2 linked regions of the Caenorhabditis elegans genome follow. The protein of the gene in region 1 purifies or fractionates together with the protein of each later gene. This does not show direct contact. Each region holds a gene or a part of one and is shown in the gene's direction. Other genes may lie near its edges. The genes, in order: ZK1320.3 and F54D5.4.

What was found.
Region 2: the proteins of ZK1320.3 (region 1) and F54D5.4 fractionate together in Caenorhabditis elegans (co-fractionation; one large-scale study listed by BioGRID). This does not show direct contact.

Annotation. Positions count from the first base shown.
Region 1 is NC_003280.10:9,658,580-9,662,231, reverse strand, and holds ZK1320.3 (uncharacterized protein), read left to right. Parts: upstream 1-1,812; 5' UTR 1,813-1,816; coding exon 1,817-1,980; intron 1,981-2,173; coding exon 2,174-2,262; intron 2,263-2,361; coding exon 2,362-2,463; intron 2,464-2,508; coding exon 2,509-2,639; intron 2,640-2,710; coding exon 2,711-2,788; intron 2,789-2,884; coding exon 2,885-2,947; 3' UTR 2,948-2,986; downstream 2,987-3,652. Other genes in the region: cyp-13A10 (Putative cytochrome P450 CYP13A10), read left to right, coding at 1-99, 146-445, 491-747, 795-938, 1,077-1,317; ZK1320.2 (uncharacterized protein), read left to right, coding at 3,234-3,397, 3,540-3,628.
Region 2 is NC_003280.10:11,567,866-11,571,721, forward strand, and holds F54D5.4 (DUF19 domain-containing protein), read left to right. Parts: upstream 1-1,952; 5' UTR 1,953-1,953; coding exon 1,954-2,011; intron 2,012-2,181; coding exon 2,182-2,415; intron 2,416-2,458; coding exon 2,459-2,550; intron 2,551-2,857; coding exon 2,858-2,953; intron 2,954-2,998; coding exon 2,999-3,079; 3' UTR 3,080-3,139; downstream 3,140-3,856. Other genes in the region: F54D5.23 (Ovule protein), read right to left, coding at 1,090-1,170, 1,303-1,377.

The DNA of each region.
Region 1 (3,652 bases):
TTCTACCAAGAGTTCACAATGGATACTATAGGACGAATTGCAATGGGTCAGACCGACTCGCAAATGTTCAAAAATCCACTTTTGAAGTTTGTCAGAGCGGTTCGTTTTGGTACTATTACCAGTGAAATTCAACATATATTTCCAGATATTCGGAGATAATCGAAAGCATATTCCCCTCATCGGTGGAGTTTTTCCTACTCTTGCTCAAGTTTTTCGATTTTTTATGTTGAAATTTCCATTGTTGGGAGCAGCCAATTTCATTCACGTCAACAAAACTGTTGTGACAGCCGTTCAAAATCGTATAGATCAGAGGGAGAATGATAGAAAAAATGGAATTGAAATCGGAGAGCCACAGGATTTTATCGATTTATTTTTGGAAGCAAGAGCAGATGATGTGGAGCATTTTCAAGAGAATAATGGGGATTTTTCAAAGACTAGTAGCTATGTGAGTTTCAGGAGAAAAATTATTCCTGAATTTAAAAAATTGCAGGGAAACCGTCAACTAACAACTCAAGAAATAGTCGGTCAGTGTCTCGTTTTTTTGATTGCTGGCTTCGATACAACTGCTCTATCCTTATCCTATACTACATTTCTCCTAGCAACACATCCAGAAGTTCAAAAGAAATTACAAGAAGAAATAGAACGAGAATGCATAGAACCATCAATTTCATTTGATCATCTCTCAAAACTAAAATACATGGATTGTATTATCAAAGAGACTTTACGTTTGTACCCTTTGGGAACAATGTAGGAGTTTTAAATTTATACTTCACATAAAAAAACAATTATTCCAGGGCGAACTCTCGGAGATGCATGAGAGCCACTAAATTGGGAAATGTAGAAGTTGAAGTTGGAACAATGGTTCAAGTAGATACTTGGAGTCTTCATACTGATACAAAGATTTGGGGAGATGATGCGAAGGAGTTCAAGCCAGAAAGGTTTTTTTTTCAAAATTAAAAAATATATTCAGATGTATTATTGGCTTAATTTTTGAAAGTTTTAAAAAGCGAATCACTTTGGAGAGTATTCCACCTTTTAAATTATTTAGTAAGAGATCCTACTAGTTATTATTTCAGATGGCTTGACCCCAACTGTGACCAAGTTTTCCAAAAAGGAGGATATATTTCATTCGGATTAGGACCTCGTCAGTGCGTTGGAATGCGATTGGCTTATATGGAGGAAAAGATGCTCTTGGCTCATATTCTTAGAAAATATACATTTGAAGTTGGCACCAAGACAGAAATCCCATTGAAATTAGTTGGAAGAGCCACGACTCAACCGGAAACTGTTTGGATGCATTTGAAGCAAAGGATATGAACTCAATAATTTTCGACCCTCTTTGTTTGTATTTTAGTCATCGAAAAAGCTTTCAAATAAAACTTTCTTGCTTTTTAGAGTCTGAAAATGTTCAGCCTATTTTCTGAGAAACTCGTCTATCCTTTAATTGAAGAACAATTTTGAAAAACATATCAGACTAATTTGGTATTTCTACTAATTTTACTCGCATAAACTTTTGAATCATCTGATTGTGAGCAATATTGGATCAAGAAATCAGTTTTGTTAAGCTGCTGGCTCCCCGGAATCAATGCTCATAAACTTATCTGTAAACAACTTGTCCTTTAACTTTTCCAGTGATATCATTAGTGCTTTCCCATTTTTCTATTTAATATTCTTATCACTATAACTGAATGTCAAAAGAAAACGCTCATAATTTAAAAAACGTCAGTTTTAGACTGATAACTCTCTCCACAATTCATACTAATTTGACCATTTGCTACTTAAATTTTTTGAAGCATATATTTATATTTTCAGGAGAATGAAGTTTCTTCTTATTGCTTGTTTGGCAGTTCCTGCAATCTTAGCTCAACAGACGTCTGCTCCAGGTGGAAATTTGTGTACTTATCCTCCACAAGGAGATGAATCAAACCAAAAGGCTGTTCCTATTCAGGACTTCAGAACGTCTGGATTAGATTTCGTTAGGTCAGTTTATGTTCAAAAATTGGAACAGCTTTAGTAATGATTGGTTTAGGCCGCGGCCAAGTTATGTTGAGCCAACTCTTGATGGTCTTACTAGTTAGACCCAGAAAAATACTTTGGCAACAGTGGGATACTAAACGATTACCAATTTTTGAACCACATAAATAGCCGAATATCTTAATTTAAAAAGTTTCAGACCAAATTGGTGCATCACCCACTGTGCTGACCGCAAATCTGTCAAAGCTGCTGTTCGCTTCCAATTTGCCAATCAGTCAACTGCAGTCCGTAAGTTAACATAGATCAGTACACTAAAGTACATGTAAAAACATTTGGAACATTATGAAAATACCAGTAAACATCCTAGAATTTAATGGGAATTTTCAGCAACCTACAAAGTTCGCCGTACTTTCACCCGTTATTCAGGAATGAAGGTTCATGCTGAGCTGATCAGCGGAAACCCGACCAAGCGTGACGATGATCCTTTTAGTAAGTGATTTCATCTTATGGTATAAATACATGTCAAAATTTCAGACTTCTGTATGGACGATGCTGTGTCGGCCCAGATTGATACTATTGTCAACACCTACAATGACATCGAAACCATGTCAGAAGCCCTCAACTTCTATATCAACAAGCCAGGATGGGCGTATATTATTTACGATGTAAGTTACACAAGTTTTTTTTTGGAAAATATATAGGTGTCTACTATTTCTACTTGAATACATATATTCAGATGGGAGTACCACCAAGCATCATTGAGACTGACAATGTCAAACACGATATGAACTACTGTGAGAAGTCTTCTAACAAGGTAAGTACTCAGAAAATGTTGTAAAATGCAACAAAACCAGACCTGCAAGTATCCGAATTAGAAATTAGACCTCACCAAATTTTACAAATTTTTCAGCAAATGCCGGATGGAACCTACATGACATATCAAGTATTCGCAGGACTTATCAAGGCTAATTGATTTTTTTCTTTTAATTTTTAATAAACGATTTAACTATTTAAAGTTTTACATTGAATATTTGATTCTTATTATTCTCAAAATGAAATCATTAGTGATTTTTCAATATTTAATTTTCCACTCTTTATTTTCCGTTATCAACACATTCAACTGGCAAAAGAGGAGGCCGGTGATGTGGAAAATTTCAGTTTTTAACTGATAACTTCCGATAATTTGACCATTTGCTACTCGCTTTGAAACGTTTTTGAGTATAGTTTCCTTTTCATTTTTATCGAGAGTTTTTAGGAAAATGAAGCTTCTTCTCCTTGCCTGCTTAGCAGTTCCAGCAATTTTTGCTCAACAAACTTCTGCTCCAGGAGGAAATTTGTGCAATTATACTCCAGTTGGAGATGAATCCACACAGGATGCAGTTCCAATTCAAGATTTCCGATCCTCTGGATTGGATTTTGTGAGGTTAGTATATTCCTTTTCAAGATTAAATTAAGAATTCATGTAAAGTCAGAGTGTCTGATCTAGAATTGTTTTATCCTTTTAATCAATAATTTTAAATTTAATTATTCAAATCCAGATGAAAAAATCCATTTCTACTTTTCAGACCAAATTGGTGCATCACTCACTGTGCTGACCGCAAATCCGTCAAGGTTGCTGCACGTTTCCAATTTGCCAATCAGTCAACTGCAGTTCGTAAGTTAGCGTTCAAAAAATATT
Region 2 (3,856 bases), 1.9 Mb from region 1:
AATTAAATTTTGAATATTGGCCAATTAGACAAGACAATATTTCGTGGGCCCCACCACGCCTTGAACGCGTGTACTGTAGCCTGAAAATTTGTTTAAAATTTTAAGAAATTTGAACTTTAGAAGATATTTTCTGTCAGAAAATTAATAAAATAAATAGTTAGTGAAATGAGACTAAACTATAACTTTTGTAGAAAACGTTTGAAAAATTGCAAAGCTGCCCAAAGTATATCACTCAAAAACCGGTCAAACTACCAATTTTGGCATCTTTTTTTTTTTGAAAAAAATCAGTACACACTGACAGAAAAGTACGAGCAAACAGAAAAATAACCGCCGCTGAAGGCAATTCAAATAAACGTTCGGCATTGATCCTTTGAACTGTCCAGAACAAAGGGTGGTGATTGCAACGGAGCAGTAGTCGGTAGCCGGGAGGTATAACTGAACCACGTAGTAGAATTAGAGTGTGTAGTTGAGCAAGATATTATCTATGTACCAAGTTAGCATTAGTTATTGGTAAGTAGCAATATTGATTTTTGTTATCTAAAGATCTTAAAACCACTTTTATAGTTCTAAAATCACAAAATAACACAATTAATCTCTTCAACAAGAAAAATTAATTGTTAAAAATTGAACTTTTTAATAGACTTCGTTTTTGCCTACCACAGTTCAAAGAAGTTTAAACAAGGTTTATATCTTAATTTGGTTTAACCTTTGTTGCACTCGAAACTATTCAAAAAAGATACCAATATTTTGATAATTTGGTAATTTACCAAAACTTTATTTAAATATTGCCAAAAATCTAGGAAATTTTAGTGTTTCATTAGGAAATTTGGGTATTCTATGAATTCAATTTTCATGCAAAAAAAAACAACAAAAAACAACAATAAAATAAACTTTCCTCACAAAACAATAACTTATGTGAATGAAAAATGAAATCGCTGAGAGATTTTTCCGATGAGCAGCTGTTGTTAGTCCGCGCGGAAGGGCTCACTCTCTTTAGCGGCTACCGTTTATTCTACTCAACAGGTGTATACGGTATGTCGTCCGATTTGACTAATTGAAGGTAGTCGTTCACACAGGAAAAGACACAATTCACAGATGGTATTTGTTTGCTTTTGAGGTGTGAGAAGAAGAAGATGGAAAGGGTGACTTCAGAGGTATCCCATTGAGATGCTAAAAAAAAAAAATTGATTCAATTAATAATGGCTAACTCCTGTATTGAAAAGGCAACAATTGAAAGTATTCGGCAATTTGATTGAAGTTTTGACAGTACTAGAAACATCCACGCTTATTGATAGATCTGACCTCTACAATACGTTCTGGCTCAACAGCCTGATCCAAGTGCTCGACAGGCATCTGATGTTCCAATTCTTTATCCATCACGGTATTCCACGTTTTTTTTGCTGGAGCAATCAATTGCCAAAAAAAAATAAGACCATTTTTTAAACAATATTTCAAAAAATATAGATGATGTTTTTGATTTTTTGCACCAACTCAAACCCTTACCTCTTTCAAATGTCATTTAATCAGCCAAACTTCAATTGCCACTTAGATAAGAATAATGAAATCATCGTTAGGTTTCCATATAAAAATGTATATCAGTTTGTAAAAAAACCTAGTTTATCAATGCGAAATAGGTTGAAATAGTATTTCCTTTGTATATACAGAAGATTTTTTTTCAACCTTGTGAACACTTTATTATATTTTTCGGGCACTTTATTTATTTAATGTTTTACTTCCTTAATCTGCCATTTAAAGGTATTCTTCCAACTTTGAATGCACCGTTACATCTACTAGATGTTCCGGGGGTGACTAGGGCCCCTAGCGCCCACCATAGCCAATATTGTCAATTTTTCGGAATATAACCCGTTGTTAGAATTATTTTCTTATAAGGTTAAATTCTTCCGTTTTTGGAAGTGTTTCCGGGAAAAATACAGTATTATCTTATTTTGTAGAATGAACCAAATCGTTTCTGCTTTGCTGATCTTTGCAGTCGGATACGCTACTGGAAATCGTGAGTTTCTTTTCTTGAATTTAAGAATTAATAAACTCATTTTGTCATTTAAGTTTAGCCAAAACATGTTTAGGTCGCAAATTGTTACCATGAATTTGTCATAAAAAGGTTCAGAACTTCCACATGGTTAGGGCTTAGCTCCTCTCAAATTCGAATCTTTTAAATTCCAGTTTGTACTGACGACACTGGTTATTGGATCAGTTCCCTTGCCGAAGGTGTCTCTGATTTCGCATATGGAGGAACTAGACTCAACACCAAATACTATTGCTTTGAAGGATGCTTGAATACTGGAACTGCTCTTCAAAATTGCAAAGTTGATATGTCTGGAAATAATGGCACAAGAATTGAGAGATCACGAGAGATTAAAGAAGTAATTGCTTTGCATCAACTTGCTAGACAAAGAGGTTCTAGAAGTTAAAAATGAAATTTCAATAGAATTTTGTTTAGACGAGGATCCAAATGCAAAGTCCTGTGTAGATCCAGTTTTGAGACAAGACGTCAAGAATGCTCTTCAGAAAACTACGAGAAGCAATTGCAAGGTTTGAGATTTGACTTCAGCTTCGAAATTCTGGAAACTTTGAAATCCTGATTCTCCAAATCATAATATTTCCTGCAACCTCAAAAAATTCAGACCAATATATAGCTTAGCTTACGGTTTGACCAATAATCAATATTTCACACACTTAACCTTATAAGGCCTTCCTGTGGGGCCTTACCTCTAGTCTTTTTCTCAGAACTCAGAATATTAATCAATTCTTATCATGTCAAACATTAAGTTCAATCTTAAATTGGAAAGATCTCAAATCAGATCAGATCCCCAAATTGGCTTACATTCAATTTTTTCAGAACATTGTCAACACCTTGGTGCTCAACCTCAATCGTCCAGGATGGGCGATCACTTGCATTCAATTCAATGAATTCGCTATTGATGATTATACTCCGGTATGAAATATGCCTAGATCTCATTGAATTTGAAATATCTTTCAGGACATGAACTTCTGCAGTTACGACTCTGTTTCTGACACTGATATCTTTACTATTCGTCTGGCAAAACTTGATATGTCCTAAACTATGGTAGTTTGGACAAACTTATCGATAATTTAGAGAATAAATATAATATTCGTTCAAATTTTTGATTTAAGCATGAAAAAATTAGGAGAAACTTGACAATTTAATATTAAAAAAAACCAATCTGTCTAAATTTTAAGTTCTGTCAAAAACTGTCTCCGCATTGCTCACACTTTGCCACGTTGCAATTTTCCCTTTTCTCATCGTCGTGTACGAATTTTTTCGTAATTTCTAATGAGTTATTGAGAAGTTCTGAGAATAGTTCAAATTTTAATTGAAAATTTCAAGAAGTTGCTGAAAAACTGACTCAAAGTCGCAATGTGCAGTTTGAGCCAGTTTTGAGAAGCTTCTCAATATACATTTTCGAGAAAAAACCTGGACATAACGATGGAAATATTCGATTTTGTAAGTATTGCCAATATGAGGTTAATGTTAGACAGTAGCTCTTTTTGTTTTATTTATGAAAATGCGGAAATTTGGCGCTTCAGATAAATCATGACGTCATGAAAACCTCTTCCATATGACGTCATATTTTTCGGTGTCAACTGAATTAACTTGTAGAAGGTACAAAGTCTAGGCTAACTGTGAGAGGTATTCTCCATTTCAAGTACTTTTTACATCTCGAATTGAAATTGATTCATACAACAAACATGTGGGCAGTATTTCTTGACCAAGTGACTGATAAGCAATAATGAAATCAACGAGTAGTTTCATTTTCCTCCCGGTTATCACCAATTTTCAGTAAAATTTGCCAACTCGATTGTTTGATTTCCACCA